Linked DNA regions of Callithrix jacchus. The protein of the gene in region 3 interacts with the protein of the main gene of each other region in a pairwise test. Links are inferred from orthologs where the notes say so. Each region holds a gene or a part of one and is shown on either strand. Other genes may lie near its edges. The genes, in order: TUBGCP4, ZC2HC1C and GFAP.

Region 1 (10,869 bases), on a different chromosome or scaffold from region 3:
GATGACAATGGTGCCCCCTCTTCTATTAACTATTAAAAGGCTGGACTGTTAGGGGCAGCTGACCCCCACTCTGATTGCTCTGCAGCTGCATTCCTATCTAGGCACCACAGCAAGGCTGCCAGATACACTACAATTGAGCAAAGCCTGATTACAGCCACCTGGGCAGCGCCGCGGGGGAGGTCATGGAAAACAAAACTGTTTAAATTCCTATTTTACACATACCTGTAAAATCCTGTTTTTTAAACTGCCACCACAAAAGTCACAAGATGATGTACTGTTAAGTCTGTCACAAGCTGACAAATCATCTTTGTGCCTGTTAAAAGCTGACAGATTAGCTCAGTCCTGAAACTCCCTTATGCTCCTCTTACCCCATATAAACCCCTTGTGTTATAGGCCCGGGGCTGTCTCTTCTAATTGTTAGGGAGCAGCCCGGCAGATTAATAAAACTTGTTTGCATGATGTTGGGCCTACTGTCTTTTCTCTTGGCTAACCTTACAATTTTAACTACTCTAGCTACCTCACGTGAGTGGAATCATTTAGGCCGGGCATGGTGGCTCACTCCTGTAATCCTAGCACTTTGGGAGGCCAAGGTGGGTGGATCATGTGCGGTCAGGTACACACCAGCATGGCCAACATGATGAAACCCCGTCTCTACTAAAAATACAAAAAGCTGGGCATGGTGGCAGGTGCCTGTAATCCCAGCTAGGATGAGGCACGAGAATTCCTTGAACCTGGGAGGTGGAGGTTGCAGTGAGCCGAGATTGTGCCACTGCACTCCAGCCTGGGCAACAGAACCTGACTGTCTAAAAAAAAAAAAAAACCACAAACAGTGGAATTATTGCTTGTCCTTTTGTGACAAGCTTATTTCAGTTCATCCATGTTGTAGCATGTGCCAGAATTTCCTTCCTTTTTAGGGCTGAATAATACTTCCTTGTATATATATACTGAATCTCAATTACCTATTGGTCCCTCCATGGACACTTGCTTCCACCTTTTAGCTACTGTGAATAATGCTTGGTGAACATGGGTGTACAAATACCTGTTGGGTCCCTATTTTCACTTCTTTTGGGATATACTCAGAAGTGGAAGTGCTAGATTATATGGTAATTTTATATTTAATTTTTTTTTTAAGAGACAAGGTTTCACTCTGTCACCCAGACTGGAGTACAGTGGTGGGTTCATAGCTCACTGTAACATGAACCCTTAGGTTCAACCAATTCTCCCACCTCAGCCTCCAGAGTAGCTAGGACTACGGCACGTGTCACCATAGCCAGCTAATTAAAAAAAAATTTTTTTTTTTTTTTTTTTTTTGAGACGGAGTTTCGCTCTTGTTACCCAGGCTGGAGTGCAATGGCACGATCTCGGCTCACCACAACCTCTGCCTCCTGGGTTCAGGCACTTCTCCTGCCTCAGCCTCATGAGTAGCTGGGATTACAGGCACGCGCCACTATGCCCAGCTAATTTTTTTTTTGTATTTTTAGTAGAGACGGGGTTTCACCATGACCAGGATGGTCTCGATCTCTTGACCTTGTGATCCACCCACCATGCCTCCCAAAGTGCTGGGATTATAGGCTTGAGCCACCGCGCCCGGCAAAAAAAATTTTTTTGTAGAGATGGAGTCTTGCTCTGTTGTGCAGGCTAGCCTCAAATTCCTGGCATTAACTGATCCTTCAGCTTCACCCTCCCAAAGGGCTGAGATCACAGGTGTGAGCCGTGTGCCTGGCCTTTAATTTTTTGAAGAACTGCCATACCATTTTCCACAACGGCTATACCATTTCACATTTCCTTTACTATATCTCAGATACTCTGCTAATACTTTGAGATAAATAAAATCGGATACAGTTAATGCTCCAAATGAACTTGGCATATTATAAATGGGTGGATATATAATATAGATTATATGTGGATGTCATCTTTATATGACAGTAAATGTGGTAGCAAATAGGCAAAGAAGAATTTTTCTGTTGCGGAGTCCACAGAAAATTGATTAGGAATCAATTAATGTATATTTTAATGACACAATGCTAATCACATTTTCAAGTTAGTAACTTAAGAGGTAGCACAACACCTGGTCTTAAGAACCTGGTGTCTGGAGACTGACTACCTGGGTTTGAATCCCTGTGTTGCCTCTTACTTGCTTGAAAGCTCAGGTAAGTTACTATACCTCTCTGTGCTTCAGTTTTCAAACCTATAAACTGAAGAAAATAATTGTGAGGATTAAATAAGTTAATAAGCACATGTCCCAAGCACAGAGCCAGTGCTCAATATGCATAAGCAATGTTGTATTATTAACAAGGCAGCTCTACCAGTTATCCAATGATACCATTATTAAAATTGGCATTTAAGCATTTCTTTTTGGCAGAGCTTTCGAAAAGTTCAATGTCTAATTATTCTGAAACAGCAAACAATACCTTGAAGTTACTGATACCATTCTATACAACATACTTATATGAACAGGCTGAGAAATCCTGAATTAGAGTAATGGTCATTTGAATATATTGATTTGGTAGTTTTGTTTAATTTTAATTTATAAGAATATTTGATTTTATAGTTGTTTAACAGCATTATGCTTGAGTTTATACCTAGCTTAAGTATATATTCAATATTATAATAATTTTCATCAACACGTGGCACTCATGACAACTGTTCCCTTTATTCAAATGTAAAAGACACCACTCTGCAAAAAGTATGTTATATTTGCTGTCTTTGTCTTCTTGTTTTCCATTAATACCTAAACACTTGCTATGTGGCAGAAAATGTGCTAGGTCCTCCGGGTACATCAGTGAAGAAGACCACTGTGGTCTTTGCTCCCATGGGCAACCTATGAGGGAGAAAGATTTATAAACAGGTAACAAAAATACATTATAAATTGTGACAAATCCTATAAGGAAAATAAACAAGTTGATAGAGAATAATGGCATTAGGGGAGGATGCTTAATTTAAAGATGTAGCCAGAGAAAGTTTTTCTGACAAAGTGACTTTAAAGCTGAGACCTTAAGGATGAAAAGCTAGAAAATACATGTTTGAGAATTTTTCATAAGAAAGAAAGGAAGGGAAAAGATGAATTACTTGTGGCTGTCTCCCCCACCCCCTCCCTAGCTAGTCTTTCCCTTACTGTGTTATCTCTTTTCATTTTGGACAATCAGGCACACACATACTTCCTGAATACTACTCGCCTCCTACATGCCTGGTATTGTACTAAGTTCTATGGAGAAAAGTGAAACATCGACTTAGTCTTCAAGGACCTACAGGTCAAAAGTAACAATTCAAACTCTACCAGGCAAATCTTCACCTCACTTATTTTTTTTCAAAAATTCACATAGGCAGGGTGTGGTGGCTCAAGCCTGTAATCCCAGCACTTTGGGAGGCTGAAGTGGGCAGATCACTTGAGGTTAGGAGTTCAAGACCAGCTTGGCCAACATGGAGAAACCTTGTCTCTACCAAAAATACAAAATTAGCCGGGAAAGATGGCAGGTGCCTGAAATCCCAGCTACTCGGGAGGCTGAGGCAGGAGAACTGCTTGAACCCGGGAGATGGAGGTTGCAGTGAGCCAAGAGGGTGCCATTGCACTCCCACCTGGGCGATACAGTGACTCACTCTAAAAATAAAAATAATAAAAAAATTCACCTAAACTCCCTAACTTCAAATACACATTCATAAACAATAACAAAGGAATCTGTTTGATTTACAGGTTTTATAGACTAAGAATGTACCTTTTCTGCTCTTCCAGTCTATATTGCAAATTCTCCTAGGAACAGGCATGCCTTCGTGATCAGTTGGACCTAGATTTCAATCTTGCTATTACCAGGACTAGCCAGCATAAAGTTCTCTGAGCTTCAGTTTGATCATTTGTTAACCGGTAGAAACAATACCTAAGTTACTAAATTATTGAGAGCATTAGATAACATTACTGGAAGCAGAAGCAGGTAAGAATAGTTCAAACACTGAAGCCAGACAGGTTTGGGTTCAAAACTAAGCTCTGTTAATTACTAGCTATGTGATCCCGGTAGTTATTTAACATTCTAAACCTAGATTAATCCGTAAAATGGATATAGGCGGTTGTGAGGATTAAATAAGATAATGTATATACGGATCATCATACATTCCTGGTTACACGAAGGCCCCCTTCCAAGTTCTTTACCTAGTGCAGAAATTTCCTGGTAAAGGAGTAATGAGGGAAACATCACACGCTCTCCATTTCATTTCTTCATTCTACAAACTTTACTTAACGCTTTCTATGTGTTTGGGAGCTGTGTATTTGGAGCAGTCCTTCAAAATTCAAACAATGCATGCGTGAAAATAAAATAGGAGAAAGTGCCTCCCACACTTCTATATCATTTCCCAGCAACTGTCACTCAGACACCTCGACCTCAGGCCCTTTCCTCGCCCTGCCACAGGAGGGCCTCTTCGAGATCGGCCCTCCATTTTCCAGCGTAAGCCAGGCCTCTCTCTAGGCGTCACATCAGCGTTCACCTTAAGGGACTGCCCTCCAGTCACCTGTCCAGGGACACGCCCCCAGCCCTGTAAGCCCCGCCCTCTCGGTCCCTCAGCCTCATCCCCTAAACGCTGGCTCAGGTCCGCCGCTCCAGCGCTCCCTGGTTTCCGCGCTCTGCGCCGGACACTACCTGCAGGCCACTCCGCTTGTTCCAGGTGAAAATGGACCCAGGGTACCCGCTCAGAGCCAAGAGTAGTTCGTGGATCATTCCCGCAGCCGACCTCGAGTCCCTGGATACGTCGCCCCCTCCTCCAGCGCCCCTCCTGGCGACCACGAGGGGAGTGCTCCCCTTCACACACTCGCATCGGCTCCTGGGTCGGGTGTTTTGTCCCAAATCAACCCGCTGAGACAATGCGGCAGAGCGGACGTGAAGCCAGGAAGGGGTCACGGCCGAGTCCCGGAAGTTCGGTGGCTCCACGGGGCCCACCCGCTACTCCCGCCAGAGCTCTGCAGAGACTGAGTCGCGGTCGCTGCCCTCGCGCATGCGTCCTCGGTGCCCCGAGCCGCCTGCTTGGACTTCCGGTTTGGGAGCTGTACTTAGTAGCTAGAGACTGGAGCTGGGGCCGGGGCGGGACCCTGAGTGGGTGAGGCTGGCCAGGAGGCAAGGATGCGAGGAGGTTGAGGGCAGCTCGAGAGGGAGACCCTCTCAGGGGTGGGGTGGGCTGGAGGGCGCCCTTAGGGCGCCTTAGCCGGGTCAGAGGCCTCTGGAGGGACTGCACGACGGCTGCGGGTGACCCGGCCGGAGGGAGCGGAGACAAAGAGGCCGGAATCCCGCAGCCGTCCCTCCTTAAGCTGAGAGCTCTGCGTCCTCGAACCGGCAGCACCTGAAGCCCCTGGCCGGCACCTGAGCTCATCCTTAGGAAGCCGGTTACTACTGGCCCTCGGACTCCGTCTCTCCAACGCAGTCTGACTCTCCCCAAACCCACTCAGTCCTCGCTTTGGAGCCAAAATTGGTTTCTCTCCTTGCTTGAGGTTTTCCAACAAGTTGCGCCCGAATCCTTGCTGAGAGGCTACTGCTTCTACGAGGGGAAAACAAAGACTCGAAATTCTGGACCTGATTTTTGCCTGGGGTGGGCGTTGGGAGTTGTGCAGCCCGCGGGGGCTGGGCGGACGCAGAAGGCCTTAGGAAGGACTGCGGCGGTACTTGGGAAGATCAGCTGCGACCAGCTGGACAGAGGCTTTTTGTTACCTTCAAGCAGGATAGTGATCCTCTCGAACTCCAGTTCATCTGTATGGTTCGGACTCACTATGCAACATTGGTCAGGGGAGTTAAATGGGATCGGATTTGGAGGAGGTGGGAGAGGAGCGGGCAGTATTTTTATTCTCTGCTGCTTCCTGGGGCTGCTCTGGACGTCATCCACAAAAGCAGCTTCTGCAGTCTTTTTACTGAAGGTTGTGCTACCTAAGAAGGCCACTTGGAGCATATGGGAAGGCAGACCAGTTCTGACAAGACTTTAGACTTATGAATATATTCCTTCTGATAGTACCATCTTTCTCTGCCCTAGGAAGAAACTCTTCTTACAGACAGAGTGTCATCTGCAGGTGATTCTCCAAGGACATGGGAAGATAGATGTAAGCTTTGGAACCCAGACTCTTAAGTGGAGGGAAGCTGCTTTCTGCTGTGAATGATGGCCAAATCCTCCCTGAGAGAGAATGGCCCTAACTCTGAGACATTCCGACAGCGCTTCAGGAGATTCCATTACCAGGAGGTGGCTGGGCCGCGGGAGGCTTTCAGCCAACTCTGGGAACTTTGCTGTCGGTGGTTAAGGCCCGAGGTGCGCACCAAGGAACAGATTGTAGAACTGTTGGTGCTAGAGCAGTTCCTGACCGTCTTACCTGGGGAGATCCAGAATTGGGTACAGGAACGGTGTCCAGAAAATGGAGAGGAGGCAGTGACTCTGGTGGAAGATTTAGAAAGAGAGCCTGGAAGACCTGGACCTTCGGTGAGAAGGGAGGGGGAATTCAAAAGTGTGATATTGGGAAGGGGCAAGGGTGGAGGGCTAAATTAATAGACAGGCTTAAAGAAGGACACAATCTCCCTTGGTGATGCTTATACTTCTGGTCTGGTATAAGTAACTTTTTCAGATAGTGCTTGTCTGGAGATGCTACCTAGGTGTACCTTCACCTACCCTGTCATAATGAGTTTTTGCTAGTCTTATAGTTTCTTAATAAGAAAGAGGATTTTTTTTTTCAGCCTGTAGTTGGGTTTACTGTTTTGATCATTTCCTTCTGGAGTTTCAGCTGCTTTAAGCTAATGGCAATGGAATAAGACCCTTGTTCACTTTAACCCCCCACCCCTAAAATCCTGGCCATGGCCCTGAAGGATGATCTCTTTTGGGGTATTAAATAATCTCCTTTGGGAATGCCCCTCATTATAACTTTGCAGTGACAATTAACGGGGGTTGTTTCTAGGTCACAGTCTCTGTGAAGGGGCAGGAAGTGCGCTTGGAGAAGATGACACCCCTGAAATCATCACAAGAGTTATTAAATGTTCGGCAGGAGTCAGTGGAACCCCAACCCAGGGGCGTACCCAAGAAAGAGAGGGCAAGAAGCCCAGACCTGGGACCACAGGAGCAGAGGAACCCAAAGGAGAAGCTCAGACCTTTTCAAAGGAGCGGTGAGGAGTAGATTCATATGGGAAGATAGAGTGCCATTCCAAGTTGGGAAGTAGCGTTGGGAATAGTGAGTGGGAAAGGGATTTCAGGAATAAGTGGAAATTGTAGAATATGTGGTTATTGACATGTAGTTTAGCCTTCTGGTATTCTTTTATTACCTCTTGATAAGTCCACTAGAGAATAGCTCCCTAGTTTTTATCAGAACTTGGAATTACTTCCTCTTGGTAATGATGATAGGTTGTTATTTTCTAGATAAAAATTCTTTTCTATACTTGAAGGCAGATCTTCCTGTTGGTTGTTTTCCTTCTTCAAATTAAACTCTATTTGTTTCCTTAAGCTTTCCACTAGAAGATCCATTTTTTAAACCTAAGTTTTTGTTGCTCTCTATTGGAATCTTTAAGTTCTCCAAATATCATGTTAATAGTGGAGAACTAATTTATGTATATTATTCTTGTGAAAGTCTGTTAGAAGCTAAGTAAGAATTTTACTTCAGAATCTTGCAACGCCTTGTATCAATATAGCCCAACCTGTGATTATATGATTTTTTTGTTCACCTGGTAACTTCCAGGATTCCGATAGCTTTCCCCAGTGCCTTTATACCTACTTGATTATTCTTGTACTTGATTTTGTAGAACTTGTTTTTCTTCTTTGTATTCTATTGATCTCCATATTGTATACTTTTTTCTGTTACCATTTCGCTTAAAATTTGTTGAGGTAGTTTTGAATTGTGGTATTATCGTCTAAGATGATAGCTTTCTCAGCCAATTTGGTAATGGTCTCTCTGCTTAGTGATGCAGATTAAATCCCTGAATCTCACAGACTTGCAGAGTTCATTAGTTTTGGAACACCTATCAAGGTGCTCAACATCTTGCAGGATACTCTGCAATAAAAAAAAATGTGCATATCCTCAAAGAACTTAAAAACATCATTGAGAACCACAATAGCTAACTCTAAGTATGTGCTGAACTGAACTGTACTGAAACAATGCCAATGACTCGCTCAGTTGTGTGAGTACTGTATGGGTTTGGCAGAGTGGGAGATAAGGGAAGGCTGTAGGTAAGGCTTCTTGAGGGCATTGGCAAATGTAGCCTCTTGAAGGACAGGCTGAAATTGGATAAGAGAGAATTAAAAGCCACAGAGGGGGTAATAAAAGTGTGCTGTGTTCTGGAGCAAGAGTCTGACAGGAATGGGTATGGTAGGTACTAAGGTTAAGGCTCAGCAGGGTAAAATGTGCACTGAGGAAGCAAGAGCCTGGAGATAGGAAGAACAGTGACTGCTGCAGTTATCTGGTATGAGAGGATAAGGAGTTTGGACTTGGATGGTGGCAGTAGTTCTAAACATAAACACCTTTAGAACTTGGTGACTGACTGTGAAGGAAACATAAAGACAGTCTTTTCTCACTTCCCCCTTGAAATCACTCTGACTTTAATTCTGAAGCCCCAAGTGAAGAATAATGACCTGCGTACAAATAGGAAAGCTAGGGAACAACTTGGAATAGAATTATCTGCTCTGAACACACAGACTCCTTTCCTCTCTGGTCACCCTGCTTTGGAAAATAGAACATTTCTTATCTTTTGAGGTTTCCTGTATTTTCCCCACCTTTTTCAACCCATTGAACTTTCTGAAAACATTTCCCTAGACACTTTATTTATAATCCTCTTGGATGAAAAAGGCAGGACTGAATTTCAAATATTTTTTTATAATCAGTCCTAAGATACCCTTTGTTTGCTTCCCCGCAAGCAGGATTTCCATTTCCTAAATCTGGTGTGGTCTCCAGGTTGGAGCAAGGAGAGCCATGGATTCCAGATCTGCCGGGCTCCAAGGACAAAGAACTTCCAAGTGGTAGCTACACGGGAGACAGACGAGTGCATGCTGATCTGTTACCATCCAAGAAAGACAGAAGAAGCTGGGTGGAACAGGATCACTGGGGCTTTGAGGATGAGAAGGTGGCAGGTGTGCACTGGGGTTATGAAGAGACCAGAACGCTGCTTGCAATTCTCAGCCAGACTGAGTTTTATGAGGCTCTCCGAAACTGTCATAGAAATAGCCAGGTGTATGGGGCTGTGGCTGAGCGGCTCAGGGAATATGGCTTCCTCCGGACCCTGGAACAGTGTCGGACCAAGTTCAAAGGTCTTCAGAAGAGCTATCGGAAAGTCAAGAGCGGCCACCCACCTGAGACCTGTCCCTTCTTTGAAGAAATGGAGGCCCTGATGAGTGCTCATGTCATTGCCCTGCCCAGTAATGGCTTGGAGGAAGCAGCCTCTCACTCTGGCCTTGTGGGCAGTGATACTGAGACTGAGGAGCCAAGGCAGGGAGGCTGGCAGCATGAGGCAGGAGCAGAAGAGGCTGTGGCTGAGGAGTCTGACAGTGATGACATGGATCTAGAGGCGATCCCCCAGGATCCCAATTCAACTGCACCTGTCCTGTTTAGAAGCCCAAGTGGTAAGAAGCTTTTCTTCTTGGAGTTTTGGAATTAGACTTGGGGAATGAAGAGACTGGATATGGGGTCAGAAGGCCTTAATGTCACATGCCAGCTTTGCCACTTAGGGAACAAAGAAGTGGTTCTCAATTTTATGTGTGTATTTAATTCTCTTTTATGGGAAAATCAGTGAGATAATTGGGAATAAATGTAGGTTTCTGAAAGAAATATACTCAGAAAATCCACCATCCTGAGATCATTCCTTTCATTTCTTTACTCAATTGTTTTTTCCCTGATTTAAAAATCATTGCAGGCTGAGAAAAATGTGGCACAATATTATCTTTATGTACAACCAGTATTTATTGAGTACGTTCTAGGAACTTGAGGCTTTACAAATATACACACACACACATATTTTTTCTGAGATAGAATCTCACTCTGTCACCCAGGCTGGAGTGCAGTGACACAGTCTTGGCTCACTGAAACCTCTGCCTCCTGGGTTCAAGCGATTCTCCTGCCTCAGCCTCCCGAGTAGCTGGGATTACAGGCGCACACTACCATGCCTGGCTAATTTTTGTATTTTTAATAGACATGGGGTTTCACCATGTTGGCCAGGCTGTTGTCGAACTGGCTGGTCTTGAACTCCTGACCTTGTGATCCACTCATCTCGGCCTCCAAAAGTGCTGGGGGTTATAGGTGTGAGCCACTGCATCTGGCCTTTTTTTTTTTTGAGACAGTTTTGCTCTTGTTGCCCAGGCTGGAGTGCAATGGCATGATCTCGGCTCACCGCAACCTCCGCCTCCCAGGTTCAAGCAGTTTTCCTGCCTCAGCCTTCTGAGGAGCTGGGATTACAGGCATGCGCCACCATCTTTCTATTTTTAGTAGATACGGAATTTCACCGCATTGGTCAGGCTGGTCTCGAACTCCTGACTGCAGGTGATCCACCCACCTCAGCCTCCCAAAGTGCTGGGATTACAGGTGTGAGCCACCTGTAAAATACGTAAAGCCCAGCCAATGCTTTACATATTTTATCTTTTACTTCCCCAGATCTCAAAGTCAGTTTATTATATTCATTTTTACTTAGAATAGCACAGTGAAGAATTGTCCAAAGTTGGGGAAACATTTTTTTATTTAAAAAATTTAAAATATGTTTAAAACAGAGACAGGGTCTTGCCATGTTGCCCAGGCTGGTCTCAAACTCCTGTTTTCAAGCAGTCTTCCCACTCAGCCTTCCAAGTAGTTAGGACTACAAGTGTGAGCCACCACACTCGGCTGGGAAACATCTAATTTTCCTCTGAGATTCATAGTATACATTGGCATTTTAACAGGATTGGGAAGTC
Region 2 (9,986 bases), on a different chromosome or scaffold from region 3:
GGATTATAAAAGTAATAAACGTTTACTGTAGAAAATTTAAAGGACACAAAAAGGAAAAATGCAGCATTTTCGTTACCTGGAGAGAACTCCTCACTCTTTGCAATGTATTCTGCCACCTCCCAAGACTAGGATCTGTGACACTGCTTTAACTGTCTACTCTTTTAAGATCAGCTCAGTGTTGACATAGCTTCTGAGTAAATAGATGAAATACAACTAAGTTTGGAATTCTTTTTCACCCCATTTAGAGTATAAACACCTTGACGGTAAAACAGACTTTCTTTCTGGTTATCTTACAAACCATGCCCCTGCCAATTATTTCTCACTTTAGAAAAACTAGGTTGTAAAAAGTAAGGGCTTCACAACGCTTACATGATAAATTTAGGCTAACTTCGTAGGCACATTTGGACAACATATCTGGAAAAGATTGTCTCATAAATGAATGACCTGTCAAGGTTGTGCCACTTGGTTTATAGAATGGGTATTTCTCAGTGTGGCATGCGGACAAACTTTATTTTAATAGTCTTAGTGTTTAGTGTTTATTAGAAAAATTTATTAGTCATTTAGTGTTATATTAGGAAAATAGGACAATATATTAAGCCCCTGATTTCCAGGGATCACGAACTTACAGAAAAATCTTAATTAATTGTAAGGATTAAGTGAAAGAACAAATGATTGAAGTTTGGGAAGTGTAGACCATATGATCTCGATCGCCCATCTAGTTATTCCAGAAAAATAAGAAAGTGTCATTCTGCTTTCATTTCTTTCCAACCCTCGCTCTGCTGTGCTGGCACCTCTTGTCCATCAGCACTTTACAGTTTCTGTGTATTTGCTGGAGGCTTTAAAAACTCACATTTATATGATGGTTGTTAGAAAAAATTGTTTACAGTTAGAGTTCTTTCTTTCAGTACAGTTTGGGGAAATCACAAGCAAGTCCCATCTGTATTCAGAGACAACCTCCCTGAAATCTAGTTTTCAAAAAAGAAATCAACATTTTGCTCTTGCAGATAATAATATGATGGCCACTTACTGTTTTTTCCTGTTTTCTTTCTGTTCAACCCAATAATCCACTGGGGATTCACTCTGTCCCACTATAGCGATTTATTTTTGGCCAGAGCCTAAAACATCTTGTGTTTCTTAAATTTGTAAATACAGTTGCAGTGAAGTAAAATAATTAGGTTCCTGAGATCAGACGCTCCAGCTTTATGGCAGCTAGTTTGGCAGAATGTATGACACTGAGGACACCAAGACAGAAGGGAACTAGACTAAGCTGTACCCACACCACCCTGGTAATGTCTCAAGTCTTATTCCACAGTACTGTGCCTTTGGAAACTGAGTGGTTGTATCTTCCTGTCATTCCTCTAGAGTAATTAAGAACAGGTGATTTTCCTGGTATCCTTTAATTTTCACGTAACTTCCAGTGGATGTATACCTCATCTCTCTCCTGAACTAATAAGCATTTTCAAGGACAGGGAACATATCTTTGTGCTTTATGCTTAATAAGTGTTAACTGAATAGAATTTCAGTACAGTGAGGAATAAAATTATAGGAATTCGAGTATAAGAAGTAAATTACTAAAGTGTTTCATACACTTGAGGAACTTTCCCCTAATCAAATTCTTTTAAAGGTTCTGGGACACCATGTCTAACACTCTCTTGCCTTCTTGTCTGTTTCGGTAAGACTTTCCCCAAGGACACTTTCTTTTCCTTTGATAAAATCTCTCTTCCTACTATTCATCATTAACAATGCCAGATCACCAGGAGCTATTTGTCTGCTCTTTTTCTTTTTTAAAAATTTAATAGTATTTGTATGCATTTAAAAAGTCATGTTGTACTGAGTGACCTACAGTGGAGCCCCTAGTCCAGCCCCCAGAGGCAGCCTTCAGTTCTGTTAGATGGTTCTTCTGGTCTGCCCTTCCATATTTCTAAATAATATGCTTATTTTCTTGATTTATCAATTTTCCACATTACCTGTTTTTTGTTTTTTTTTTGAGACAGAGTCTCTATCATGCAGGCTGGAGTGCAGTGGTGCCATCTTGGCTTACTGCAACCTCCACCTCCCAGGTTCAAGCAATTTTTGTGCCTCAGCCTCCTGAGTAGCTGGGATTATACATGTGTGCCACCACGCCTGGCTAATTTTTGTATTTTTAGTAGAGACAGGGTTTCACCATGTTGGCCAAGCTGGTCTTGAACTCCTGACCTCAAGTGATCTGCCCACCTTGACCTCCCAGAGTGCTGGGATTACAGGCATGAGCCATGGTGCTTGGCCTACCTGGTAACTTCTTATGGAAGCTGTGAGTGAAATTCTCTTTCATATCCCCCTCTCCTACTTTTCTCCTTCTCTTACCCTTCCACTGTAGTCGAATCACAATTTTTGGTTAAAAGAAGTCAGCTTTCACATTGTAATGATCATGTAAATTTTGTTCTTTAATGAGTGAATAAATGTTGTCTCTGCCCACATGTACCTAGAGTTAATAATGGACGTTATGTTTTCATTTTCTTCATTTTCTACATACCTCTCCTTATTTTTACCCGCAATGATCCATCTGATATCAGACATCTGTTAATGTTTTTGTAATGCTCAAACACCTCTCATAATCTATCAGTTTGATTTTTTAATTCTGAAAACCTCCCTTCCACCACTCTGATCCCTTCTGCTTCAACCTGGACTGGTTATTTTCTAGGCCTGGTGCAAGCCCATTGTCTTGGGACTTCTCTTTGCTTCTCTTCTGTGTTGGCTCCCCTGTTTGCAGCATTCCGTGTCTTCCTTTTTCTTGCATTACTCCTTGCGTTGCTGAAGCTAAGAAAGGTGCACAGCAGGTATATTGTCTTGGAATGAATGGTAGTATCTATCTAATAGACTCCCATTTGATGATTTGGCTGGGTACAGAATTCTAGGAGGAAAATGATTTTCTGTTAGAACTTTTAAGATATTTCCCACTAGCTTTTAGCATCCAGTGTATTATTGAGAAATCGAATGTCATTTTGATTTCTGTTCCATTACAAGAAACCCGTGTTTTCTTTTTTCTTTTTCTGAAAGGCTTTGGGATTCTCTATTTATTTTGAAATTCTGAAACTTTACAATAATTGTGCTGGATACTTGGTAAGCCATTTCAATCTCAAGATGTGTGACCGTTAATTCTAGGAATGTTAATTGTATTATGTCTTTAATAATTTTCTCCTCATGCTTTCTCTGTTCCTTTTGGAACTCTTACTGGTCACATGTTGGACTTCCAGGATTAACTTTCTAATTTTCCAATCTTATCTTTTCACTTTCCATCCTCATCTTTTTTCCCATTCTGAGAAATTTTTGACAACATTTCTATTTGATTTTTATTTTTAGCTATCAAAGTTTAAATTTATAGTTTAATAGTTCTTTCTGGTTCTCTGGTTGTCCTTTTTTCACAGTATACGCTTCTTGTTTTACGGACACAACCTCTTCTAATACTCATTTTGTTGATACGATTTCATGTTAAAAAAAAGTTTTCTTCCTCTATCTGCCTTGTTGCTGCTTCCTGCGTTTTTTGTTTGTTGACTTTTTGGGCCCTTTTTCTTGTTAGAGCTTTAGCAAATATTTGATGATTCCTGGCTGTCCTTTCATATTTAATCTTAAGTGGGGCTTGTTGACTAAGGACCTTCATATTAAGGTTACTAAATAGCCTTTTAATTAGGGTTCTCCAAGGTATCTGAGGGCTTTTCTCTAGACTGCTCCATGTATCCAAAGAACCCCTCTTTTTCCTAAGAGGATGCCAATATGCTTGATACTCTGGGGGCTGAGCAGGAGAAGGGGGCTGACATTTCCATAATTTGGTATGTACACTTCTACTTAATCCCCATTTTCAGTCCCCAGATTAACCCCCAAGTTTCACTTGTCTGGATTTCCTGAGTCGGAAATTTGTCTGGTTCAATTTCTCCAGAGAATAAATCCTTGTTCTTCTCTAAGTGTGCTTGGGTGTTGGACACTTGGATGTGCAAGGTGGGAGGAGCTGTGGGGTCCTGCCTGTTTTCAGTCCTGTACCTCCTTACTTTGCACCATCTGGTACTTCCAAGCACTGAACTTCTCTGGAGTTCTGCTGGGAAAGCAGCTTGCCTCTCAGCAGTACGCTCTTTGCAGGCCCTTCGTTTGCCTCAACTCTGGCAAGTCAGTTACCACTATTGCTCCTTTCCTGTTCTCTTTGATCTTGCAGATTAGTACCCTTTTCATTTTCTTACTGTTATTCTAATGGAGACTCAGTAAGGAGACAAGTGCCAAGTTGAAAGATCAGTATCCCTTTTACATTACAGGCTGAACCTCCTCGGAAGAGCAACTGGAGACAGAAGCACGAATATTTTATCCGTACCCTCCGCCAGGCTCGAGAGGTCCAGCAGGTAATTGCCAAAGGTGGAAACCCTTCAGACTTGCCTCCCATCCTGCCTTCAGAAAACCCAGACTACATTCAGTGTCCTCACTATAGCCGCCACTTTGCTCCCAAGGTGGCTGAGCAACACATTCCCAAGTGTAAGACCATCAAGAACCGCCCTCCACCTCCAAGGAAGCATTACAGTTGAGCAGATGACAGTGGAAACTTTTGGATAGTTCAGAAAGCTCTGCTTTTCTTTAGGAGTAAATGGGAGTAGAATTTGATACAAAGCAGAAAGAAACGAAACAGCTCCCAGATCTGCCTGCAAAGCTAAAATCTGAGGAGAGAGCCACTGCTAAGCAGCAGGAGGCAGAAGGAAGCCCCAGCTTCCCACTAAATTACAACCTCAGCTGGTATGCTTTATGTTATCGCACTCAGAATTGATGGGTGAAGACACTGAAGAGTTGGGAACAGGCTCCATTAAAGTTCTCTTCTTGCATGCCTGACTTGTGGTTTGTGCTAGTGAAGTGCCTGCATCTGGTTGTGCCTTCTTGTCACTGCATGTATGTCCATAGTTCCTGTTAACTCTTGCTTTTATAGAAGTTGGAGATATTAGGATGTGTTGGTGTCAGAGGGGCATGATGACCGAGATGGTAACTCATTTATAAAAGACAATACAATTTTCCTGTAAGACATTATTAATGAAAATCTATCCTTGGTCTCTCTGGTGCATGATCCTGGCCAAAAACCAATACAAGTATGTGAGGTTAAGGCACCAGTGTCTCCTAACCTTCCCTGTGGTGTACTGTGTAATAAAGGAAAGATCTTTATGTACTTCACAGGGTGGGGATGGGTGTTGCGGGGGGCAGATATTATACTTCTCTCTACTTGTTCTTTTCTAATGCGTTTCATATGTTAAAAAAGAAAGAAACCTCCATTTTAGTTGTTACTAGCACTCTACTTTCAAATTGGTTGGGCTAAATGACTGTTTAGAGGCAGCAAAATCTACCATAAAAGTGAGCTGAGACAGGCTGGGCATGGTGGCTCATTCCTATAATCCTAGCACTTTTGGAGGCTGAAGTGGGAGGACTGCTTGAGGCCAGGAGTTTAAGAGCAGCCTTGACAACAAAGCAAGACCCCATCTCAAAACAAAACAAAGCTGGGACATTGCACAGTGTCACATGCCCTTGCAAATTGTAGCACAGTCAACTTCTATTTCAGAGCATAAACTTTGAAGGGAAAGGGATCAAATCTTTTTAATTTTCTCTGTGTAGCTATTGCCTAGCACAAGTTAGACCCTCAATTAATGAGATCTGGAGATTTAAAATTAAACAAAAAGAAGACTAGTGAAATGAGAGAACTGATAAGTTAATGTCTGTGAGAGTATTATCGATTCAGATAGGAGTGAAGTTAGCACAACAGATAGAAATCCTAGAATTACTGTTCTGCATTACTCACATTGTTACTTTAAAATACTGGAGAAAAACTGGTCAATTTGAGCTAGGCAACAGGGCTAGACAGACAACAAAATCCTATTTTACTAAATAACAAATGGCCACTCACTCTTGTTCCATTTCCTCTGCAGCTTCTGCTGAGTGGCTGGGCTAACAGACCAATTTGAAATGTGAATTAAGGCTTGAATGGTGAAGTTACAGGACATAGGCTGGGAAAAAAATCCTATATATTTAAATATATAGGATTTTATATATAAATACTTACTTCTTTGCACTTTTTTGTTTTTGAGAGACAGAGGCTCGCTCTGTCACTTAGGCTGGAGTGCAATGGCGTGATCTCGGCTCACTGCAACCTCCATCTCCCAGGTTCAAGTGATTCACCTACCTCAGCCCTCCTGAGTAGCTGGGATTACAGGTGTGTGCTGCCATGCCTGGCTAATTCTTTGCATTCTTGTTAATTGTTTCAAAGGAAAGGAGATATCACATCATAACGCTTTTGGTTAGCCCCCTTAAGGAAAGCTCACACAGAGATACTGGATAAACCTAATATGTACATTCTCTAGGCAAGTTCAATGAAATGTGTGCTTTAAGTGGAAATGTAAACTATTATATTGCAATAGATGGCAAGAATAAGCTGTGGCCAAGGTCACAAAATGGCAACATATGGAATGCTTTGCTCCACAGATGTTTTATTTAGCTGGCCTACCATTCAAAATATAATTTGACATTTAAAAACTGGGATATGGGATATAGCTGACATTTAAAAACTGGGATATAGCTCACACCTGTAATTCCAGCACTTTGGGAGGCTGAGGCGGGTGGATCACAAGCTGAGGAGTTCAAGACCGGCTTGCAAGATGGTGAAATCCCGTCTCTACTAAAAATACAAAAATTAGCCAGATGTGGTGGTGTGCACCTATAATCCTAGCTACTCGGGAGGCTGAGACATTGCTTGAAACTGGGAGGTGGAGGTTGCAGTGAGCCAAGGTCACGCCACTGCAGTCCAGGCTGGGCAATAGAGCATGACTCTGTCTCAAAACAAATAACAACAACAACAAAAACTTGGTATATGGAACATCTCTTGAAAAACTGGGAGTTCTTTAAACACTGGGCCAGCAACCTGCACAGCACAGATTGGGTGGGGTTTAGAATCAGATGCTCCTTCAAATGGGAATGGTAGCAGCAGACCACCACAGTCTCACCGGGCCTACTTCACTTCTCTACCTTATTTGCCTGGTCCCATAGGCACTTGGATTTGGGATCCCTGGATAATGTTAGTAAGGTCACAGATCAGGGCCCTCCAGATAGAACAAGTGTTGTTATATGTGGAGAGTGCTTTCTATAGACAATGAAGCAGTTATTCACTCTCATTTTGCTAAAGAAATAAAACAGGCCAGGTGCAGTGGCTCAAGCCTGTAATCCCAGCACTTTGGGAGGCCGAGGCGGGTGGATCACGAACGAGGTCAGGAGATCAAGACCATCCTAGTCAACATGGTGAAACCCCGTCTCTACTAAAAATACAAAAAATTAGCTGGGCACGGTGGCATGTGCCTGTAATCCCAGCTACTCAGGAGGCTGAGGCAGGAGAATTGCCTGAACCAAGGAGGCGGAGGGTGCGGTGAGCCGAGATTGCGCCATTGCACTCTAGCCTGGGTAACAAGAGCAAAACTCCGTCTCAAAAAAAAAAGAAAAAGGAAATAAAACAGTAGTCAATGCCTTAGGGTTCCCTTTAATCTCTATATGTTTAGGCCTTGGTTATATTAGAAATAGCTTTCATCTTTTAAATTTAGCTTGATCTGGTCTCTGGGAAGACGTAAGAACCTTTTTTTTTTTAAAAAAAAGTCTAAATCTTGGGCCAGCTGAGGTAGCTCATGCCTGTAATCCCAGTACTTTGGGAGGCTGAGGCGGGTGGATCACCTGAGGTCAGGAGTTTGAGACCAGCCTGACCAACATGGAGAAACCCCGTCTCTACTAAAAATACAAAAAAAAAAAAAAAAAAAAAAAGGCTGAGATAGGAGAATCGCTTGAACCTGGGAGGTGGAGGTTGCGGTGAGCTGATATCGCACCATTTCACTCCAGCCTGGGCAACAAGAGCGAAACTCCATCTCAAAAAAAAAAAAAATCTGAATCTCTTCCTGGATAGCTCAGTGGATGGCAGTAAATAAATGCATGCTTGTTAATATCTTATACTACTTTATCCAAGAACCTTTAGTGCAAGTAAACATTTTAAGTTCTAAAGTTCAAAAGGTTGATCCATGGGAAAAATTCCATAGGGAAACTCACATAGGAACTCATTTTATTAAAAATGTGTGTGGACGTGCTGAGACAGTATTTCTGGACAGCAGTGTATGTAATGCAGCACAGCACCTTCTAACCAATGTTTGCTTTCATTATCAATGTATCACTCTCCACAGCTTCACAGGAGGTAAGAGAAATGTGACATAGTGGAGTTTTTCGCCCTAATGTTCATGATTCTGTGAGGTTTAGTGATCAGCTTATTTCCACACTTAATCACTGAAACAATGATTTTTGGCTTTGCAGCAGGAAGGAATGTTGTATAGTCCTGATTACAGCCCACTCTGCCCTAACCATCACGAATACTTTTTTGGGGTTCAGGGATTTCATCTGAGTGAATTTACTTAAAATGCATTCTTGCTTCTGAATTGTTCTATTATGAATGTTTGTGAACATATGGCAAATGAAATGAAAACTGTCTACTTTTGCTTTAAACTTCAGTGAAATGCTCAGCCAAGAGAAGTTGTAACTTAGCTATGCTATGCCAGGGAGACCAAATTCAATTCAATCTCTCTGAGGGAGAAGTTTCACAAACCATAAACTGGCATTATCACTTGGAAAGGCCCCCCACTGAGACTGAGGAGGCAGGTACAAGACGGGATCATCCTTCTTTTAAATGGCTCATTTTTTCCCTCCCTTTGCACTTTTGGCACTTTTAGATCTCATTGGGAAAAAAGCTGTAGCAGCAGAAATGATTCTGCTGGCAAGAATAAGAAACTGGAGAGAAGCAAAGATTATTTCTGTGCAAATGTCCCTTGCATTGTTTCTGTTCCAAGAACATTATTTATATAAAGACTCACAGAATCAAAGATTCACAAAGGCCTAGAATCTGGATGTTTTATCCCCAGAGACTAAGGTCCATGCACAGACTTACCGAGGCACAGCACTGATTGAGAGTTTAAATGTTTATTTAAAACAGAAATGCCAAACCACTCTACCCTCAACCTTTCAAGCAACCTGGCTAACAATAAGCTAGTTCTTCCGCAACAATGTTAGAGCAGAGGAGTAACAGGTTATCGTGTAACTCAAAAGCAATACTACTAGAAAACTTAAAAACACCTAGCACTGCATAAAGGAAAAAAGCAGGACAAAATTTAAAGAGAATTAGCTACAGAAAACCATTCAAAGGCATTTCTACTGCCTCATTTTTTAGTCTATCCCCCTTTGAACTGGTTTCTGTTTGCATACTTGTTTAGTGGAAAAAAAAGTCATAAGGCTGTCCCAGGCACAATATGGGAAAGTGCAAATTGTCTCTAAGGCACAGAACTTAGATTCTCAGCTGGATTAATAGCAAATCTAGACTTCCCAAGAGAATATGCTAGAGAAAATGACCACAGCATTCCACTGCTAGGGAAAGACTCCCCTCTGAACAAGAGCAAGGCCCTCACCCACCCCCGGCGCTCACTTTCACCCCACCTTCTCGGCAACATGCCCATGTCCATCAGATCCACAGCAGAAGCAATCCTCATGATGAACACTCAAACTGACCTGGCCTCTCAGGCCTGCTGAGATGATGAGCATGAGGATACAGGGACATGATAGGCCAATCGGTCCTTAAGAAAATCAAAGTTGCATTTACATGCTGAACCAAAACCCACAGTTAGGGTTTATGGCAATCCCAAGTCCCCAGAACTTGCAACTTTAATCAAAGTTTGGCCACTTCTCTTATTTCAAGAAAAGGTTTCAGTGATTATATTAGTATTAATGTACTAGGCTTCCCAGAACTGAGAAAACAATGGGAACATCAAACCAAAGAAGATCCCATTGAACAGAGTTGCCTGTCCCCAGCCATGGGGTTCTCCCCAAGCATCAGTCTTTATGCCACCAGTTTTGGGGAAATGGCAAAATTTCCATTGCACAGGACCTCCCACAATGTTGAAAAGATTATCAAACATTTTGGT
Region 3 (10,769 bases):
CAAGGAAGGGGTGACCCGGAGGGACAGACCCAGGGGCTGAAGTGCAGCCATGGACTGGGCCAGAGAGCACCAGCCCCTTCTTGCCCTATCAGGACCTCCACTGCCATACAGAGACCATGACTGACCTGAGACAAAGGGCTGGTGTCCAATCCCAGCCCCCAGCCCCAGAACTCCAGGGAATGAATGGGCAGAGAGCAGGAATGTGGGACATCTGTGTTCGACGGGAGGAGTCCAGGGGTCTGCTGGGAATGGGGCCTAGTCGGAAACTATGATATAGACGCCCCTTGAGGAGATGGAACAGGTTTGTTCGTCACCAAATTCCCAGCACCTTGCAGGCACTTACAGCTGAGTGACAGAAGGCCTGGGTTATCAAAAAGCTGGAAGGCAGGTCAGAGGTCATCTGGTACAGCCCTTCCTTTTTTTTTTGAGACAGGGTCTCTGTTGCCCAGGCTGAAGTGGTGCAAAGACAGCTCACTGTAGCCTCAACCTACTGGGCTCAAGTAATCCTCCCACCTCAGCCTCCCAAAGTGCTGGGATTGCAAGTATGACCCACCCCACCCTGCCCTTCCCTTCCTTTTTAATTGATGCATAATAATCGTAATATTCATTGTGGTCCAACCAACCCTTCTTGACCCACCTTCCTAGAGAGAGGGTCCTCTTGCCTCAGTGGTCAGGGCCCCGGACCCATGGTCTGGCTCCAGGCACCACCTGCCTCATGCAGGAGTTGGCGTGTCCAGGAAGCTCTGCCTCTGGGCACAATGACCTCAATGGGGTGAGAGGAGCTCTCCCCATAGCTGGGCTGCAGCCCAACCCCACCCCCTCAGGCTATGCCGGGGGCGTTGCCAGGGGCAGCAAGCATTGCCAGCCCAGCCCACTCCTTCATAAAGCCCTCATGTCTCAGGAGCAAGCAGAGCCAGGGCAGGATGGAGAGGAGACGCATCACCTCCGCTGCTCGCCGCTCCTACGTCTCCCAGGGGGAGATGATGGTGGGGGGTCTGGCTTCCCGTCGTCTGGGTCCTGGCAGCCGCCTCTCCCTGGCTCGAATGCCTCCTCCACTCACGACTCGAGTGGACTTCTCCCTGGCTGGGGCACTCAATGCTGGCTTCAAGGAGACCCGGGCCAGTGAGCGGGCAGAGATGATGGAGCTCAATGACCGCTTTGCCAGCTACATCGAGAAGGTTCGCTTCCTGGAACAGCAAAACAAGGCGCTGGCTGCTGAGCTGAACCAGCTGCGGGCCAAGGAGCCCACCAAGCTGGCCGACGTCTACCAGGCTGAGCTTCGAGAGCTGCGGCTGCGGCTCGATCAACTCACTGCCAACAGCGCCCGGCTGGAGGTCGAGAGGGACAATCTGGCACAGGACCTGGGCACTGTGAGGCAGAAGTGAGAAGGAGATGGGGAAGGGGGGGGCCTTGTGAGCAGAGGGGGCTGAACCCCCAAGAGGGAGTCCCCGAGAAGTCTCAGGCAGGGGCTGAGCCTCCCTGCTCCCTGGGTCTCCCTACCTCTTGATGGGGCCTTATCCTTGCCCCTACAGCATGATGAGAGGGACCAGAAAGAGGCCAGGGCCCCGGGGATCTGATTCCCAAACACCTTCTGCCAGGGAACCAGGGTCCCCTCAGCACCTCCTCACTGAGGAAAGCAGTGCAGGAGCAGCCGGGCCCCCAGCAGCCGGGCCCTTGCGTTTTCACTCATGGCTGGGCCTTGTGACTGTGGGCAGCGAGCTCACCTATTCTGAGCCTGGGTCTGTATAAAGGAGTTGGAAGTGGAGAAGGTTGGCATCCAGGAGGGAGATTGGATTCTGGGGTAAAGGAAGTGGGGGAAAGCGCAGGCAGGCCTGGGTGTAGAGCACAGGTGACAGCCTGACACCAACTTGTGACCCCCGTCAAGTCACTCTGACTTGCACAACTATGAAGCAAAGCTCATAATAAAATTCATTTCAGAAGGTGGTTACCTGGGATCAGAGGAATCCCCAGGGGCATGGCGCTTCACTGAGCTGGCAAGGCGCCTGTGTGCCTTCAAGTGCAGGAGGGTGTGTGTGTGTGTGTGTGTGTGTGTGTGTAGCAGTGAGTATATGTCAGTGGATGCGCCTCTGTGAGCAGGAACAGGTGCACCAACCCTGATAAGGCACCTTGGTAATGAGTTAAGGCAAAAGCGCGCATCTGCTCATCCTCCAGATGAGGCCTCTGTCTAAAGCCCCCCAACCCTTACTCCTCCTGCTGCTCTGCTGGTCCTGGGTGCGGGTGGTCTCTATGACAGTTGCCTCCAGGGAGATTGGGGCAGAGACCCAAGTGTCCTCATAAGAGCCTGGACCCAGGAATGTGTCCCCCAACTCCAGGCTCCAGGATGAAACCAACCTGAGGCTGGAAGCGGAGAACAACCTGGCTGCCTATAGACAGGTCAGGGAGGTGGAGGGAGGGGCTAGGGAGGGAGGAAAGGGGTTGATGGCAACCCACCCAAACACAGCCCCCAAGCTCAGCCCTCCAGAGCAATGTGCTGCTCCCCACTGCCCCAGAAGGAGGGGTAAGGCAAGGCTGAGGCATGGGGAGGAAGAGCCTGAGGCCCAAGTGGCCCTCTGCTCCTCACCACTCCTGCCACTCCAGGAAGCAGATGAAGCCACCTTGGCCCGTCTGGATCTGGAGAGAAAGATCGAGTCACTGGAGGAGGAGATCCGGTTCTTGAGGAAGATCCATGAGGAGGTGAGGCCAGGGAAGAGGGAGGAAAGCTCAACACAGAGATTGCAACTGAGAGAAGGAGAGGCAGAGACAGAGAGGCTGAGAGTGAGAGAGACACTCAGAGAGAGGAGAGAAACAGAGACTGGCAGATAGAGACAGAACATGAGAGAGAGAAAGGCAATAAGGGAAACAGACAAGAGAGCGTTCTAACCCCTGGCTGAGGGGCAGGCAGAAGAGGACATGATGCTGTGGGGAGCCCCAGCTGTGGCCTGTACCCTGAGCCCTGGTTCCCCTTCTCTCACCCCGGCCAGGAGGTTCGGGAACTCCAGGAGCAGCTGGCCCGACAGCAGGTCCACGTGGAGTTGGACGTGGCCAAGCCAGACCTTACTGCAGCCCTGAAAGAGATCCGCACGCAGTACGAGGCAATGGCGTCCAGCAACATGCATGAAGCCGAGGAGTGGTACCGCTCCAAGGTAGCCTGTGTGGGCCAGCCTGCCTCCTCCAGGCAGCTCTCCTTGATCCATATGAGACAGTGGGAGAAGCAGGGTGGAGGAAGCTGGGAGAATAGTCTCTCTGGGTGACTGACCTTCACCAGAGAAGTGAGATGGCTTGCCCAGGGTCACACAGGCACTATGGCTTCCAAAAGTACCCATTACTATTACCGCTACTATTGCTGTTACTTTATTAGTAGCTGATATTGTTCCTTGCCAAGTCCTGTGCTTTTCATGGATTACCTCACTATGAAGTAGGTGCTGTTCTTTGACAGATGAGAAAACTGAAGTGCAGAGAGGTTAACTAATTTGCTCAAAGCCACACAGCTCCTAAGTAGTACAGTTGGATTTCCAACTCTAGCCCATCTCACTTGGGAGCCTGCATTCCATGCCTCTGCCAGTCTGTTTTGGGTGATTGAACCTCTATTGCATGCCAGGCACCTCCCAGGACACAGAGAGGTGTCTGACCTGGAAGGTGTGATGTTGACGTGCACCGAACCACAGCTCGGAGCTTCTATGCAGTGTGGCATTTGGGCTAGGCAGGACAGGCAGGCTGTGGCCAGGAAGAGAAGAAAAGGACCATTCCTGGTGGTGGACAGAGCCTGGAGGCAGAAAAGCACAGAAGGCAGGGACCCAAGATGCTGGCCCAACCAGGGCACCTAGCTGAGGAGAGTGAGAAGCAGAGGCCACAGGCGTGTGAGCAGGGCGAAGGTCCAATGGAGCTGGGAGGATCTCCCTGCAGGTGGGGGAGAAAGGGCTATTAGAGCCCAGGGTGAGGCCGGGCACAGTGGCTCATGCCTGTAATCCCAACACTTTGGGAGCCCATGGCAGGCAGATCACCTGAGGTCAGGAGTTCACGACCAGTCTGGCCAACATGGTGAAACCCCATCTCTACTAAAAATACAAATTTAGTCTGGCATGGTGACGGGCACGTGTAATCCCAGCTACTTGGGAGACCAGCCTGAACAACATGGTGAAACCCCGTCTCTACTAAAAATACAAAAAATTAGCTGGGCATGGTGGCGCGTGCCTGTAATCCCAGCTACTCAGGAGACTACGCCATTGCACTCCAGCCTGGGTAACAAGAGTGAAATTCTGTCTCAAAAAAAAAAAAAGAAACCCAGGGCTCCGCTTGCTGGAACCCACTGTCCACTGTAGCAGATGACAGATATTCAGTCCCGCAGATGCAGCTGTCAGTGTGGAAGGTTCTGGATTCTGTGGCACTGTTCATGCGTTTGCTGACCAGGTGTTGTGCTAGGTGCCCCCGTCCATGGGTCACAGTTGCTGGGAAAAGTTCCAGCCAGGGCCAACGTCCTGGGGTTGACTGGAGTCTTGGTCACCTCCCTGATTTCCCAGAGCCTGTGCCTGCCCATGGGCCCACACAGCTCCGCTATATGTGTCCGCCAGCCGCCCTCAGCCTGTGGCTCCTATCCCCATCTAGTTTGCAGACCTGACAGACGCTGCTGCCCGCAACGCGGAGCTGCTCCGCCAGGCCAAGCACGAGGCTAACGACTACCGGCGTCAGTTGCAGTCCTTGACCTGCGACCTGGAGTCTCTGCGCGGCACAGTGAGCGCGGCCAGGACAGGACGGGGGTGGGGGGAGAGGGGATGGCCACCCCAGGAGATGCTAGGGTAGAAGGGCCAGGGGCGCGGACCTGGGGCGAGGGCGGGGCTCGAACGTCACCCCCGGGCTAGAGGCGGAGCCTGGGGCTGGGGACCGGGCCTCGAAGCCTCACCGAGTCAAGTCGGGGCCCCGCGGGACCGGACGGCTCCATCCAACAGAACGAGTCCCTGGAGAGGCAGATGCGCGAGCAGGAGGAGCGCCACGCGCGGGAGGCGGCCAGTTACCAGGAGGCGCTGGAGCGGCTGGAGGAAGAGGGGCAGAGCCTCAAGGACGAGATGGCCCGCCACTTGCAGGAGTACCAGGACCTGCTCAACGTCAAGCTGGCCCTGGACATCGAGATCGCCACCTACAGGAAACTGCTGGAGGGCGAGGAGAACCGGTGAGCCCTGATAACAGCCCTGGGGAAGTCTCCCTGCCGCCTCTCGGTAGAGCCCACCTTACCCGCTTCAGGGCCTGAGGCTTTTTCAGACTTTTGTCCAGCCCCCTTCCCACCTCAAAGCCCAGCACAGCGCCTGCCTCACACACAGCAGCCAGTCACTAGATGTCTGATGAATGAATGGATGGATGGATTTAACCAGTATTGATTAGGCCTCAAGGCCAAGGACAAGAGTCACCCTCCAAACTAAGAGGCTCACTCCCCACCCTCCCAGCAAAGACTGGACTCCTCACCTCACCCATCTTTTCTGTCTCCTTGGAACTTTCTTCACCACTTTCCCCTCCCTCTTCCATCTTCCTTCAGATGAACATGAAACCCTCACAGATAACACTCAAGCCCCTTGCAGACTTTTGGAGCTCCAGTTAGCATGTTGGCTACCGGGCAAAGCTAGGAGATAGAGTCAGACCTCCCTGGCAAGAAAAAGGGTGTTGAAGTTGTCATGATGGCCCTGGACCAGGACCCAGCCTAGGGTTGTCCCAGCCAGCCTGGGCATCCCTTTCCCTCTGCTTTCTTTCAGCATCACCATTCCTGTGCAGACCTTCTCCAACCTGCAGATCCGAGGTCAGTAGAGCAGGGCCTCATGGTAAGGGCACTGGAGTCCTGCCCCCTCCTCCAGGGCCTGTAGGCTACTTCAGCCTGGGACGGAGGACCAGGGCAAAGGGATCCAGGTTCTCCCTGGGGCCCTTCATGACTCACTGAGACGCTCTTGCCAGAGCCTACCATCCCAGGGCACTTCCAGGCGGGGCTGGCAGCCGCCCCTGTCCTGCTGGGCCCTGGGTCCCTCTTCTCCTCCCTGCACCCCATTCCACAGCCAAACTGGGTGAGATTTCAACGTCTGCCCTGTCTGCAGATCCCTGAGCAAGCACTGCCCTTCTGAGTGTTTTTTGTTTTTGTTTTTTTAACTGCTTGTCACTACAGGGGGCAAAAGCACCAAAGACGGGGAAAATCACAAGGTCACAAGACATCTCAAAAGCCTCACAATACGAGTTATACCAATACAGGCTCACCAGATTGTAAATGGAGCGCCGCCAGCTCGCGGTTAGCTGCCTGCCTCTCAGACACAGCGCTTTGCCCAGCTTGACAGGGAGTGAACCTCACCATCCCATTCTCCCAGTCTTCCTGGGCTCCCTCCTTGCAGGCTTCCCCTAAAGGGCCGGGACTGCATCATTTTCCCAGGAACCGCAGTGCCCAGCCCAGGATAACCGTAGATTAAAGCGGCAGAGCTGGTTAGTGGTAAAGGTGGTGGGTCCTTGGGTGCGCAGCTGAGCTACACCGGGGCCTCTGAGTAAGGAGCAGCCTCTGTCTCACCTCTTCCCGTCACTGGGAGGGCCTCGTTGAGCCTAGAGGCCAGGCTCTCTGCTTTGTTCTTTCACCCCTGAGGCTACATCGCTCAGCTCAGTGCTGACACAGTCCAGAGGATTCTGCCCTCAGGACCACTGCTCTTGCAGTGAATAAAGTTCCATGTTCCCTGCTCTTGATGTTAAATATTAGTGAATGTGACATGTTAAATTTTTCTCTAGGGGGTGAAGCGAAATTACTTTTTACTTGTATGTGGCCCTCAAATGATTCCTAGCTAAGGAACGAAATTCCTCTTCTGGGCTAGAATATTTAGGACCATTAGATATGCATGTCCCAGGGCTTAATTCAGCATCAGAAAGCTTAACCAGGCTGACTAGTAGAGGTAATACCGCCAAGTCCTAGATAGTCACAGGTCACTAGGGTACAGATAAGTGGCAGAGAGAAGTAGGAAAGGGGAAAGGGGATGGGAAAGGGACCTACATGTATTAAGCACTAATATGTGCCACATGTTTAACAGCCTTTATTTTAATTAATTGTCTCCTCTCTCCCACCTAGAGAAATAGGCCCCATCATCCTCATTTTACAGATGAGGAAACTGAGGCTGGGAGAGGTCAATTAACTTGCCCAGAGTTGCATAGCTAAGTTGGGACTTCTTTAGCTCTGGTCTCTTTCTTTCCTCATTTCTCTCTTTCTCTCTTTCCTTCTTTCTTTCTTTCGATGGAGTCTCGCTCCTGTTGCCCAGGCTGAAGTGCAGTGGCATGATCTCAGCTCACTGCAACCTCCGCCTCCCGGTTTCAGGCGATTCTCCTGCCTTAGCCTCCCAAGTAACTGGGATTACAGGCACTGCCGCCATACCTGGCTAATTTTTTGTATTTTTAGTAGAGATGGGATTTCACCAAGTTGGCCAGGCTGGTCTCAAACTCCTGACCTCAGGTAATCTACCTGCCTTGGCCTCCCAAAGTGCTGGGATTATAGGTGTGAGTCACTACAGCCAGCTGTCTTTTTTTTTTTTTTTTTTTTTTGAGGCAGAGCATCCTTTTGTCACCTAGGATGGAATGCAGTGGTGCAATCTTGGCTCACTGCAACCTCCACCTCCCAGGTTAAAGTGATTCTCCTGTCTCAGCCTCCTGAGTAGCTGGGACTTTGGGTGCCTGTCACCATGTCTGGCTAATTTTTGTATTTTTAGTAGAGACAACGTTTCACCATATTGGTCAGGCTGGTATTGAACTCCTGACCTCAGGTGATCCACCTGCCTCGGCCTCCCAAAGTGCAGGGATTACAGGTGTGAGGAAGCCACCATGCCCCACCTGGTCTCCTGATTTCAAAGCCTGCATGTCCTTCCTTGATGCCTTGCTGGGTTGTCAGAAAGCCAGGTGCCAGGCCAGGGCTTGCAAAGGGGCTGAAATGAAGCCAGACCTGAAGACAGAGCAGCCAGGACTTGGGCTGCAGCACCGTTGGGATATGGGGGCTCTCCAGCCCATCTGGAAGAGCCTAGGCTCTCTCTGCCCGGTTGCATAGGTTCTCATATTATGATCTGGGGGCGTGATGGGGAAGCCGGGGGTGGGAGAGGATGACTCATGCCCCGAGAGTCCATGGGAGGCCTCTTCTCCTCACACCTGCAGAAACCAGCCTGGACACCAAGTCTGTGTCAGAAGGCCACCTCAAGAGGAACATCGTGGTGAAGACTGTGGAGATGCGGGATGGAGAGGTAAGGAGGGATCTGGGCCATCAGGCGCTGCCTGGCCCCCAGGATTCTCAAGGCCAGGCTGTGGATGAGAGCCTGGGGTTGGCACAATAACTCCCAGGAGCTCTCCAGTGAATTCTGGAGGACAGCAAGTAACCTGGATGTAATTCCATTTCCCCAGCCCCTCCATAGGCTGTTCTAAGAGAAGCCTTGGTACCAAAGCTACTAGATGGGGTTCTAACTCAAACGCTATCTCTTTCTCACCCTCACACTCAGGGGCCTGGCTTGCCAGGGACAGAAAGAGAGTTAAAGTTAGCAGCTTTCACTCCCAACTCTAGCAGAGACAGTCGGAGATGGGGAGGGCTTTCAATTTCCAGCTTAGAAAAAGGAAACTACCGGGGGATGGGAAGAGGGGATTTAGTGTATCCCCCACACCACTCCAGCTACAGCGGAAGCTCATCTTACTCGAGCAGCTTGCCCCGCACCAGGCACGAGGCTAAACACTTTCCCAGAGTTATCTCTCCACCCTCTCTGAGCACTGTGCGAGGCAGTTGTGGTTATTGTCAAGAAAAGAAAGACCTGGGAAGCGTGGGGACTTGCCCAAGGTTACACAGCCTTGCAGTGGTGGACCTGGGGTCTGTGTGCACCTCTAATTGTCACACTGTGCATGTTCCCTGCCCCTGCAGGTCATTAAGGAGTCCAAGCAGGAGCACAAGGATGTGATGTGAGGTGGGACCCAGCTGGTGGCCTCTGCCCCAATGAATGAAGGGCTCAAGCAGGAGCAGGATAGTTGCTCCTCCTCTGCTGGCACCTTTCCCCAGACCTGAGCTCCCGCTGCCCCAGCTGCTCCCCTCCCTCCTTGTCTCTAGGCCAGCTAACTGCCCTAGGCTCCGTCTGCATTAGGCCTGCCAGACAGTACCCACCCAGCACCCAGCAACTCCAACTAACAAGGCACTCACCCCCAAGGGGCAGTCTTGAGGGGCATGGCCAGCAGCTTGGGTTAGAATGAGGAGGAAGAAGAGAAGGGGAGGAGGGCGGGGGGATCAAATCCATTGCCCTCCACATCCCTGATCCCTGTTGTTATGGCAACTGTTGCCAGAGTTGGAGGTTCTCTCTGGGTATCTGAGAACTGTGCCTTTGAGTTTCCTCAGACTGCTGGAGGAAAACTGAGACTAAGACAGGAAAGGGAAGTCCCCACAGACAAGGTAGTCCTGGCCAGAGGCTTTTTTTATTTTTTGTTGTTTTTGAGGCGGGGTCTCCCTATCCTGCCCAGGCTGGCCTTGAACTCCTGGGCTCAAGCAGTCTTCCCACCTCAGCCTCCTGTGTAGCTGGGATTACAGCCTTGAGCCACCATGCCCAGCTCAGAGGGTTATTCTTCTAAACTGACACTGACCAGTCTAAGATGGGTGGGGATGTCCTGCCATCTGGGGCAGGCACCTGCCCAAATCCCAGAGGAACCTCCTGAGCCATGACTCAAGTGTCTCAGTCCCCCTGAGCTGCCATCCAGGGACCCCGTCTGTGGGCACACTGTGCGCTCGTGGGAGCTTGATTCTCAGCACTTGGGGGATCTGTAGTGTATGTGGAGAGGGATGGGGTGCTGGGAGGGATAGAGGGGGGCTGCCTGGCCCCCAGCTGTGGGTACAGAGAGGTCAAGCCCAGGAGGACTGCCCCGTGCAGACTGGAGGGGACGCTGGTAGAGATGGTGGAGGAGGCAATTAGGTCGGCGCTAGACATCCAAGTGGGGGTTGTGGGCGACCAGTTACATTTAGCCTCTGAGTTGTGGGAATTAAGAAAGTGACTCATCCTCTTGAAGATGCTGAAACAGGAGAGAAAGGGGATGTATCCATGGGGGCAGGGCATGACTTTGTCCCAGTTCTAAGGCCTCTTCCTTGCTGTGTCATCCCAGGCCACCCCAGCCTCTGAGCCCCTGGGACTGCTGCTTATTTACCCCAGTAAGCCACTGCCACACGCCTGACTGTCTCCACCCCAGAGTGACCAGCTGCTTTTCCCTAAGCCAAGGACCTCTTGTGGTCCCCTTACTCACATGCAAAATGTATCCAGTATTTTAGGTAACGCCCTATTTTAGAATTTGTAAAACAGAGGCATGAGCAAAGTGAAGATACTGGCTCATATTTCTGCAGCCTGGAGGCCAGGTGCTCAGGGCTGACACGTCCCCACCCCAGTGCACCTACTCTGCTTTAACTGGGCAGACTGGTGGGCAGACTGGTGGGCAGACTGGTGGGATCTGTGCCCAGAAATGGGACTTAGAGGGCCCACTTCAGGGTTCTCCTCTCCCCTAAGGATGAAGAAGGGTCTTTCTCTCTCCACAAGACTTGGTGTCCTTTCCCTCCACTCCTTCCTGCCACCTGCTGCTGTCTTTAGTCACTGAGGAAAAATAAAGACAAATGCTATGCCCTTCCCCAGAGTGTACTCTGATCTGTTCATGAGAGGGCGGGACTGGGGCCGAGACTTAGCCTTCGACAAGACCAACTCACTTCTTATTAGTGATCGTCTCTGGACACCCTCACCAAACCCCACACCCAGCCAAAGAGGACTTAACACTAG

What was found.
Region 1: the proteins of GFAP (region 3) and TUBGCP4 interact in a two-hybrid assay, tested with the Homo sapiens proteins (2 studies listed by BioGRID and IntAct). The two-hybrid records come from large-scale screens. The link is inferred for Callithrix jacchus from reciprocal best matches to the Homo sapiens genes GFAP and TUBGCP4.
Region 2: the proteins of GFAP (region 3) and ZC2HC1C interact in binary tests that used the Homo sapiens proteins (3 or more experiments, as listed by UniProt). The link is inferred for Callithrix jacchus from reciprocal best matches to the Homo sapiens genes GFAP and ZC2HC1C.

What each region holds. Positions count from the first base shown.
Region 1 is NC_133509.1:31,096,352-31,107,220, reverse strand, and holds the start of TUBGCP4 (gamma-tubulin complex component 4), read right to left. Parts: upstream 4,954-10,869; 5' UTR 4,704-4,953; coding exon 4,626-4,703; intron 1-4,625. Other genes in the region: ZSCAN29 (zinc finger and SCAN domain-containing protein 29), read left to right, coding at 6,121-6,438, 6,908-7,112, 8,854-9,552. UniProt on the Homo sapiens protein: Component of the gamma-tubulin ring complex (gTuRC) which mediates microtubule nucleation.
Region 2 is NC_133509.1:109,987,055-109,997,040, forward strand, and holds the end of ZC2HC1C (zinc finger C2HC domain-containing protein 1C), read left to right. Parts: intron 1-2,405; exon of another isoform or gene 2,406-2,845; coding exon of another isoform or gene 2,846-2,890; intron 2,891-4,280; coding exon 4,281-4,544; 3' UTR 4,545-5,267; downstream 5,268-9,986.
Region 3 is NC_133506.1:85,316,101-85,326,869, reverse strand, and holds the end of GFAP (glial fibrillary acidic protein), read left to right. Parts: 5' UTR 1-827; coding exon 828-1,381; intron 1,382-2,333; coding exon 2,334-2,394; intron 2,395-2,598; coding exon 2,599-2,694; intron 2,695-2,981; coding exon 2,982-3,143; intron 3,144-4,602; coding exon 4,603-4,728; intron 4,729-4,943; coding exon 4,944-5,164; intron 5,165-5,738; coding exon 5,739-5,782; intron 5,783-6,139; coding exon 6,140-6,259; coding exon of another isoform or gene 6,260-6,264; intron 6,265-8,142; coding exon 8,143-8,228; intron 8,229-8,890; coding exon 8,891-8,932; 3' UTR 8,933-10,623; downstream 10,624-10,769.